Mus musculus: one gene and its partner. The protein of the gene in region 2 binds, or shares a complex with, the protein of the main gene of each other region. Links are inferred from orthologs where the notes say so. Each region holds a gene or a part of one and is shown on either strand. Other genes may lie near its edges. The genes, in order: Acbd3 and Pi4kb.

What was found.
Region 1: the proteins of Pi4kb (region 2) and Acbd3 are in contact, whole or in part, in an NMR structure (PDB 2N73), measured with the Homo sapiens proteins. The link is inferred for Mus musculus from reciprocal best matches to the Homo sapiens genes PI4KB and ACBD3. Residues at the interface, in NP_001317650.1 of Homo sapiens: Val37, Gly38, Val42, Ile43, Asp44, Pro45, Val47, Ala48, Gln49, Lys50, Ala51, Cys52, Glu54, Val55, Leu56, Val59, Lys60, His63; in NP_073572.2 of Homo sapiens: Gln245, Ile246, Ala249, Leu250, Gln253, Thr254, Gln257, Phe258, Tyr261, Gln265, Tyr266, Leu276, Leu280, Gln283, His284, Gln287, Tyr288, Gln291, Leu292, Val295.

Annotation. Positions count from the first base shown.
Region 1 is NC_000067.6:180,732,365-180,736,180, reverse strand, and holds part of Acbd3 (Golgi resident protein GCP60), read right to left. Parts: intron 3,016-3,816; coding exon 2,874-3,015; intron 1,805-2,873; coding exon 1,664-1,804; intron 1-1,663. UniProt on the Homo sapiens protein: Involved in the maintenance of Golgi structure by interacting with giantin, affecting protein transport between the endoplasmic reticulum and Golgi. Involved in hormone-induced steroid biosynthesis in testicular Leydig cells.
Region 2 is NC_000069.6:94,995,006-94,998,821, reverse strand, and holds part of Pi4kb (phosphatidylinositol 4-kinase beta), read right to left. Parts: exon of another isoform or gene 2,988-3,816; coding exon 2,878-2,987; exon of another isoform or gene 2,711-2,877; intron 2,243-2,710; coding exon 2,138-2,242; intron 2,004-2,137; exon of another isoform or gene 1,971-2,003; coding exon 1,847-1,970; intron 1-1,846. UniProt on the Homo sapiens protein: Phosphorylates phosphatidylinositol (PI) in the first committed step in the production of the second messenger inositol-1,4,5,-trisphosphate (PIP). May regulate Golgi disintegration/reorganization during mitosis, possibly via its phosphorylation.

The DNA of each region.
Region 1 (3,816 bases), on a different chromosome or scaffold from region 2:
AGCAAGTTCCAGGACAGCCAGGGCTACACAGAGAAACTCTTGGCTTGAAAAAAACCAAACCAAAAAAGCTGTGTGAGGGAGGACCAGGATGGGGTTGGAGATGGAAGTATGGTAGGATGTAAAGTGAATAAATAATGGGGAAAACAAAACCAAAACCAAAAAAACTAACCAGACAAAAAATAGTAAGAAAAAAGGATAGGGCAGGGAGGGTGGGAGAGAGCTCTGCAGTAAGAGCACGTACTGACCTTCTGAGAGCAGAATTCAGTCTCCAGAGGCCCTGATACCCTTTTCTGTCTTCTGAGGACACCTTGACTCACGTGTACACACGCCACCCCCCACACACATACAAACATACACATACTTAAACCTAGGAATACATTTTTTTCTTAAAAAGACTCGAATTGGGGGTTTGAGAGATGGCTCAGTGGTTAAGAGCACAGGCTGCTCTTCCAGAACCCAAGTTTGATTCTCCGCACGGTACAGTGGCTCACAACCGTCCGCAACTCCAGTCCCAGGTAAACCAACCCTGTCTGGCTTCTGAAAACAATGTACACACAACATACAAAGACATACATGTAAGCAAAACACTCATGTAAGGAAAATAAATACAATTAAAAGTATTTTCATGGGCGGTGGTGGCGCACGCCTTTAGTCCCAGCACTCGGGAGGCAGAGGCAAGCAGATTTCTGAGTTCAAGACCAGCCTGGTCTACAAAGTGAGTTCCAGGACAGCCAGGGCTACACAGAGAAACCCTGTCTCAAAAAACCAAACCAAACCAAACCAAAAAGTATTTTCATTGGGATATAAAACATATTACTTATCAATGAAATGTAATTTATGTCATTGGGTTTGTTTGTTTTAGACTGTGCAGGTCTGGTTAGCCTGGAACTTGCTATGAAGAGCAGGCTGGTCTTGAATTTTGAGCAATCTTCTGGCTCTGCTTTCCAAATACCAGGATTACAGGGCTTGCGCCATCCAGAGAAGTGCTTCTATAATTCCCTCATGCTTAGGCTATTCTTTGTCTAATTGAACTTTTATTTTATGTATATGGGTGTTTTGCCTGTATATATGTGTGTGAACCATTTGCATTCCTGGCACTCCTGGAAGCTAGAAGAAAGAGTGTTGGATCCTCTGGACTGGAATGACAGGAGCCTGTGAGCCACCACATGGGTGCTGGGAGAACCTCAGAAACACTAACAGTGAGCTCAGCAGTATCATCTACTCCAAACCTGGAGTAGATAACTAATTAATACGCCATCTAGGCTCCACAGTCAACACCACAGAGCAGGAGGGAAGGAGTGGGTGAACGTACAGTTGAGTCTTATTATAGTAGGACTAAAGTAGCCAGGCATGGGAGTACAGATGCTTAATCCCAGCATTCATTCAGGAGGCCAACCCGGGCTACAGTAGCAAGACTCTGTCTCAGGGGTGGAGGGTGGAGGAATACTGCTCCAGATGGGACACAGGGTCACTTTACAGGTAAGCAGGAGGAGGCAGCCCATCCTCCTCCACCCACTCACATGGATAGTTCTGAAAAACTGCCGTAAGAATTGGAAGTGAAGAACAGGAGAAGGAGGCTCTCTAACCCAGAACACACACTCCAGAAAGCAAAGCATCAGTGCTTAGTGCCCGCACTATGTGCCACCATGCCCTGTGACATCACCTTCTTTTCTCTTCTTCTTCCTTCTCTATTCTGTGGGACGCAACATATGCCGAGAGGAGAGGACAACACTTATTTAGAAGCTTCACAAACTCTACCATGGCATCCTCCTTGGACATGTTTCCCAGAGCTGCCCATTCTCTCCTGCAAAGAATAAAAAGAACAGTTACCTTCTCCGTGCAGCAGCAGGAGAACCTTGTTTAATTAAATCTACACATGAAAACCTCAATTACAATTAAAATGAACTGTTTTTACTAGAAGCAAAAAGTTCAAGATTTCAAGTTTCAACAAACCTTCATTAATATATTAAATAAGATGCCATAAACAATCCAAAATATAAGTGTACTTTGTTTATTCACACTTGTTAAAAAGCAATCTATATTTTACTTTCTTTACATTTTTAACCTGAACGGAAAAAAATATTCCATTTTCTGGCAAAATTCTGTATGTCTCAATAAGGGAATCAATAGTATGCATTTTATTTTTTTATTTGGTTTTATGTCCATGAGTGTTTTGCCTCCATGTTTATCTGTGCCCTTGGAGAACATAAGAGGGTATTAGTTACTCTGAGACTGGAATTATAGATGGTTGGGGTTGTTGAGAATCAAACCCAGGTCCCGTGGAAGAACAGCTGGTGCTCTTAACAGCTGAGGCATCTCTCCAGGCCCCGCAGCACATATTTTAAATGGCTGCTATTGGGGCTGGTGAGATGGCTCAGTGGGTAAGAGCACTGACTGCTCTTCCAAAGGTCCTGAGTTCAAATTCCAGCAACCGCATGGTGGTTCACAACCACCTGTAATGAGATCTGACACCCTTTCCTGGTGTGTCTGAAGACAGCAACGGTGTACTCATTTATAATAATAAATAAATCTTTGGGCCAGCTCGAGCAGAGGTCCTAAATTCAATTCCCAATAACCAGATGAAGGCTCACAACCATCTGTACAGCTACAGTGTGTACTCATATACATTAATCTTTTAAAAATATAAAAAAATAAATGGCTGCTTTTAATATTATTTAGAAAGAGTCAGGTGAAATTGTCCTTGTCTTATGCTAGATAAGTAAACCTCTTCCACAACAGGATTTATAACTATGAGCAAAATCAATGTTTCAGTTGTTATGCTAAGTTAAGAAATTAACTACTTACACCTTCAGAAATAGACATTCTACTTCTTTCTAACGTCATTAAGTACCCAAATAAGAAAACACTGTTACCTCCTATCATTCCCCAACACATCAAAGAATCCAACCTCAGGGGACGTGTCTGGGTTATATGGGCCCAAAAGAACTTGCTTATGCAGTGCCACGAACTTCAGTTTTTCTTCATAAGTTGGATGAAAGGCTTTGCCATCTTTTACTAAAAGAAATGAAAATTAAAGGAAACAATTGGTGTTGGCAGATATAGTTTCCAGCATCAGAAATGCACTGAAGCTTTACATAGAGTATGCCAGTAACATAAAAACAGCAGGTTAAGACTGTTAGTGGAAGCCAGGCGTGGTGGGGCACGCCTTTAGTCCCAGTACTGGGGAGGCAGAGGCAGGCGGATTTCTGAGTTTGAGGCCAGCCTGGTCTACAGAGTGAGTTCAGGACAGCCAGGGCTACACAGAGAAATCCAGTCTCAACCCCCCCTCCCCTGAAAAAGAAAAAGAAAAAAAAAAAAGACTGTTAGTGGATTTACTACATTTTAATGGGGCTTAAAATACAAATCCTTTATAGAAGATTTCTCTTCTTCCTCTCACTCTTTACTGCTTTTCTTTAAGTCAGGTCTTACTAATATAATATAGCCCAGGGTGGGCTCTAGATTCTTAGGCAGCCCAGGTAGCCCTCACATTCAGTTCTCCTGATTCAGCCCTAAATACTGGGATTGCAGGCAGATATCACCATACCCATCTTGAATTATCTTTTGAACAACTATCATTATTTATGTTAAAGTTAACATAGAGAAATACATCTGACAAACTGTAGACAGGTACATAAACAGTATTGTTTGACCATTAGACATAAATTTTAAAAAACATATTTTAAAGTGTTTATTTTTATTATTGTTGTCATGTCATTATGTTTGTCATGGTAGGACAAGATCTCACCATGTTGCACTCGGTGGCCTGAAACTCACTATGCAGAAAAGCTAAGAGATTTGCCTGCCTCTGCCACTATA
Region 2 (3,816 bases):
AGTGGCTCATCTTTCTCCAAACTAGAGAATAAAATTTTCTTCTCAACCTCTCTCCCTTAGTGTCGTGGATTGAAGGACATTAAATAAGACTTACTGACCTATTAAGAACCTGGAAGTTTTCTGTTTGAGACAGACTCATGTAGGCTAACCTTGAATTCCGGAGCCCTGTCTCCACATGTTCTAGGATTGTAGGTGTACACAACCACAAATAAAAGAACGAGGAAGTTTAAAAGGAATTTCAGGGCCTGGCAAAGGGCAGGAACTACACAGAGGTAGGAAAAAGGTAGAGAGGAAATTTATCACCTAAGTAGGGAGAGTAGGGACTATTAATATAAGTTTGAATAATAAAAAGATGGGATTTTAGGGGCAGAGAAAGCTACTTTAGAAAATGAAAATACTATTGGATGTGGTGGCATAAGCCTATATTCCCAGCAGCTGGAAGGCAGAGGCAGAAGGATCACAAGTTTGAGGTCAACCTTGATTACAGTAGAGTCAGAAGTCAGCCTGAGTTACATGAGACCCTGTCTTAAAAACAAAACAAGGGCTAGAGAGATGGCTCAGAGGCTAAGAGTACTGACTGCTCTTCCAAAGGTCCAATTCCCAGCAACCACATGGTGGCTCACAACCATCTGTAATAGGATCTGATGCCCTCTTCTTGTCTGTCTGAAAGACAGTGACAGTGTACACATATATATAAATCAATATTTAAAACAAACAAAACCAAAATGAAAGTACTGCTTATAATCCTAGTATTTGGGAAGCTGAGGCAGCAGTAATGAACACAAGAATAGTAGTGACACTGGCTGAGGGTGGAGAGGGTACAAGCAAGTTCCATTTGGCTACAAGTGAGATCCTTTCTAAAAACAATCAAAACCAAAATCAAGAGAAAGTTAGTTCAAGCTACCTCTATCCCTCAAAAAACCTACAAATATTATAGAGAATTGGATTGAATAGGTGAAGCCTCTTTGAGGTCACCAACCCAGGTGATCAATGTCTCAACATAGTATAGCCAGGTACATTGATGCACATCTGTAATTCTAGTATTCACACTGATGCATGAATTCATTATCATGAATTCAAGGCCAGCCTAGACTGCTTAATGAGTTCCAGGTAAACCTGAACTATAGTGACCCTGTCCCAAAGCAAGGGCTGGAGAAATGGCTCAGGGGCTAAGAGTAACTCCTGCTCTTGATGGGAATTTGGGTTCAGTTCCTAGCACCTATCAGGCTTCTTACAACTAACTCCAGTTCCAGGAGGATCTGATACTCTGTTCTGCCCTCCATGGACACTGTACACATTTGCTGTGCAGACAAGCATGCTAGGAAACCATCCATACACATAAATGAAAGTAAATGTTTTTCAAAATACAAAACTAAACCAAAATACTTGAGCACAGTGTAAATCCATCCATCCCAGATCATTTGGGAGGTTCTGATTTAAAGGAAAAATCCAAAGTGCGGCGGTGCATGGTACATGCACATCATCCTAGCCTTGGGAGGTGAAGGCAGGGCGATCAAGGGTACAAGCCCATCTTTGACCATAACTGATTCAAGGCCAGCCTGAATTACAAAATCCTAACTGAAATCACACCCATCAAAAAATGACATCCAGTGATGAGAACAGGGCAGATGCAGTTCCAGAAACAACCAACAGAGGTCCCCATAGAGCTGTTCTTCTCTGGAGAAAGGCAAACCAGTTTCATTTTCATCTTCCCATTCAGACCTGGGTAGGAAGCAGGTGCCCAGCAGAGCTCCCTGGAGTTGCACTGAGCCTTTCCTTTCAACACCCCTTTCTCTGTGTGTTTCGTTTTTTTTTTCTTTGCTGCTCTGTGCTTCCATTTCTTTACCTGCAGTTGTTTCAACACCTGGAAAGCCAGCAGCTCCTGGCGAAGGTCATCTCCACACTTGACAATGACTGAAAGGAGTCGCCAATTGGGAAGATGGCCATACGGGGAACCTTCTCTGATCCTCCTGTGAAGAAAAAAGTCACAGGATGATGCCAGGGTAAGGACTCAGACCACAGAGGAAGCCTGATGAGTGTTTAGATGTAGAAGGGCAATGGAAGAGGTGAGCACCTGAAGATACCTTGGAATATGAGGGAGGTACTGAGACCACTGTCTACCCTCTACCCTCCTCACCGCACTTTCTCCTGCCAGGGCTCTTTGAGGGCAACTGCAGAAGGGTCTTCAGGGTCTCGTTTGAAGGCTGTAGGAGTATGAGCCAGCTGTTCTGAAAGGCGCCGTCTAGCAGGAAGAAAATACACAATTTACTTGGAAGAGTTATCTCAGAGCTGCATGCATGCTTTGCCCACTTTCCCTTGCCACAGTTCCTAGATTCCTGGCAGATTCTTGGCTGGGAAAGCCAGAGAAGCAAGGATAATCAATGGTACAGTTTTGCTAACTTGGTAGTTTGTGATCATGTTAAAATGCAGAGAGCCTTGTATTCTTCATTCCTCTATTCCAATATTGATTCAGAATGGGTATGACTCCAGAATCTGCATGTATAACAAGATTTCCTCTCTGCCTTCAAAGGAAGGATTCCACTTGGGGGTCTCACTTTGATGACTGGTTTTGCTTTTCTTTTTTGTGATGCCGAGAACTGAACCCATGGTCTTTCACATGCTAGTCAAGTGCAACTTGGACAAACTCAAATGCCCTTTGGGGCATTTTCTTCTTTTTGGAACTCTCTTAAAATGTCATTTCTTTTTGTAGTAGCTCAAGCAATGTCTCAGCTGCACCTTCAGGGCCTCAAGTACTGAGCAAGGACAGAATAAGGAGATAAAGGAGAGGGACATAAAGCTGACAGCTGGTAACCAGACACAGGACAAAGAGGCAGAACGAAGAAGATGGAGATGAAGGACGAGGTGATTGGGCCATACCGGATGTCCCCTGCTGCAATGAACACAGGCTCCTTGCTCTCCTGGCTGGTGATGCTGTCCACCGAGAACTGGGAGATGTTGTCACAGCTGTTGGTGTGCACTTCAGGGAGCTGGGAAGAGCAGGTCAGAAATGCTAAACACAGATCTCCCTCTTGATCTCTGCTCACTTGCCACTAACTAACTACCTATGGCATGGTGGCCTACCACTCCACTCCAGCCTTCTCCCAAAGCCACCATGGTTCCATATCACTGAGGCCTTGAGCCATAGATCCCACAGCAGTGTTCTCAAAGTGTGAACTCATAGAATTCATGGAAAAGCATAGGAAGTGCAGATTCTCAGTTCTGACCATCAGCCCAAATTAGAACTACTGGGAATGAAATCTAGAAGCTGCATTTTTGTGAACTTTCTAGAATATTCCCAACACTCTCTAAGAATGGTCTCAAACTCCTCCTTTCCCAGCCTCCATGTCAGTGCAGGGACTACAGGTGGATCACCATACCCAGACAATTTCTTCTGGCTAAATCTCCACCTAATCTCCTCACTCTTATCTATAAAATATTCTGCCAGGCCCCAAGAAGTCTCTGTCCTTCCTTTTACAAAGTACTCTCAATTATACCTGCCATCTAATACACAGTAACTCGTGTATCTTCATTTTTCTTCTTCCAGCCCCACAGTGCGGCTTGAGTTTATTTTCATAGCTAACAGGGCTGAGTGAGTGCACTGCTTGTCGGGGCCATGCCAGCCTCTCTAGCCTCACTCACTCATCACCTCACACTACGCATCAGCACATATTAGTTTTTTTTCATTCCTATCATGGCCATGTTGCATTTTCTCTTCCTCAGTCTGAATGGTCTGAATGTTCTTTGTTCTGCTAATTAAACCATGCTTCCAGCCTCAGCAGAAATATCACTTCCTCCAGGAAATCTTTTGATTCTGAT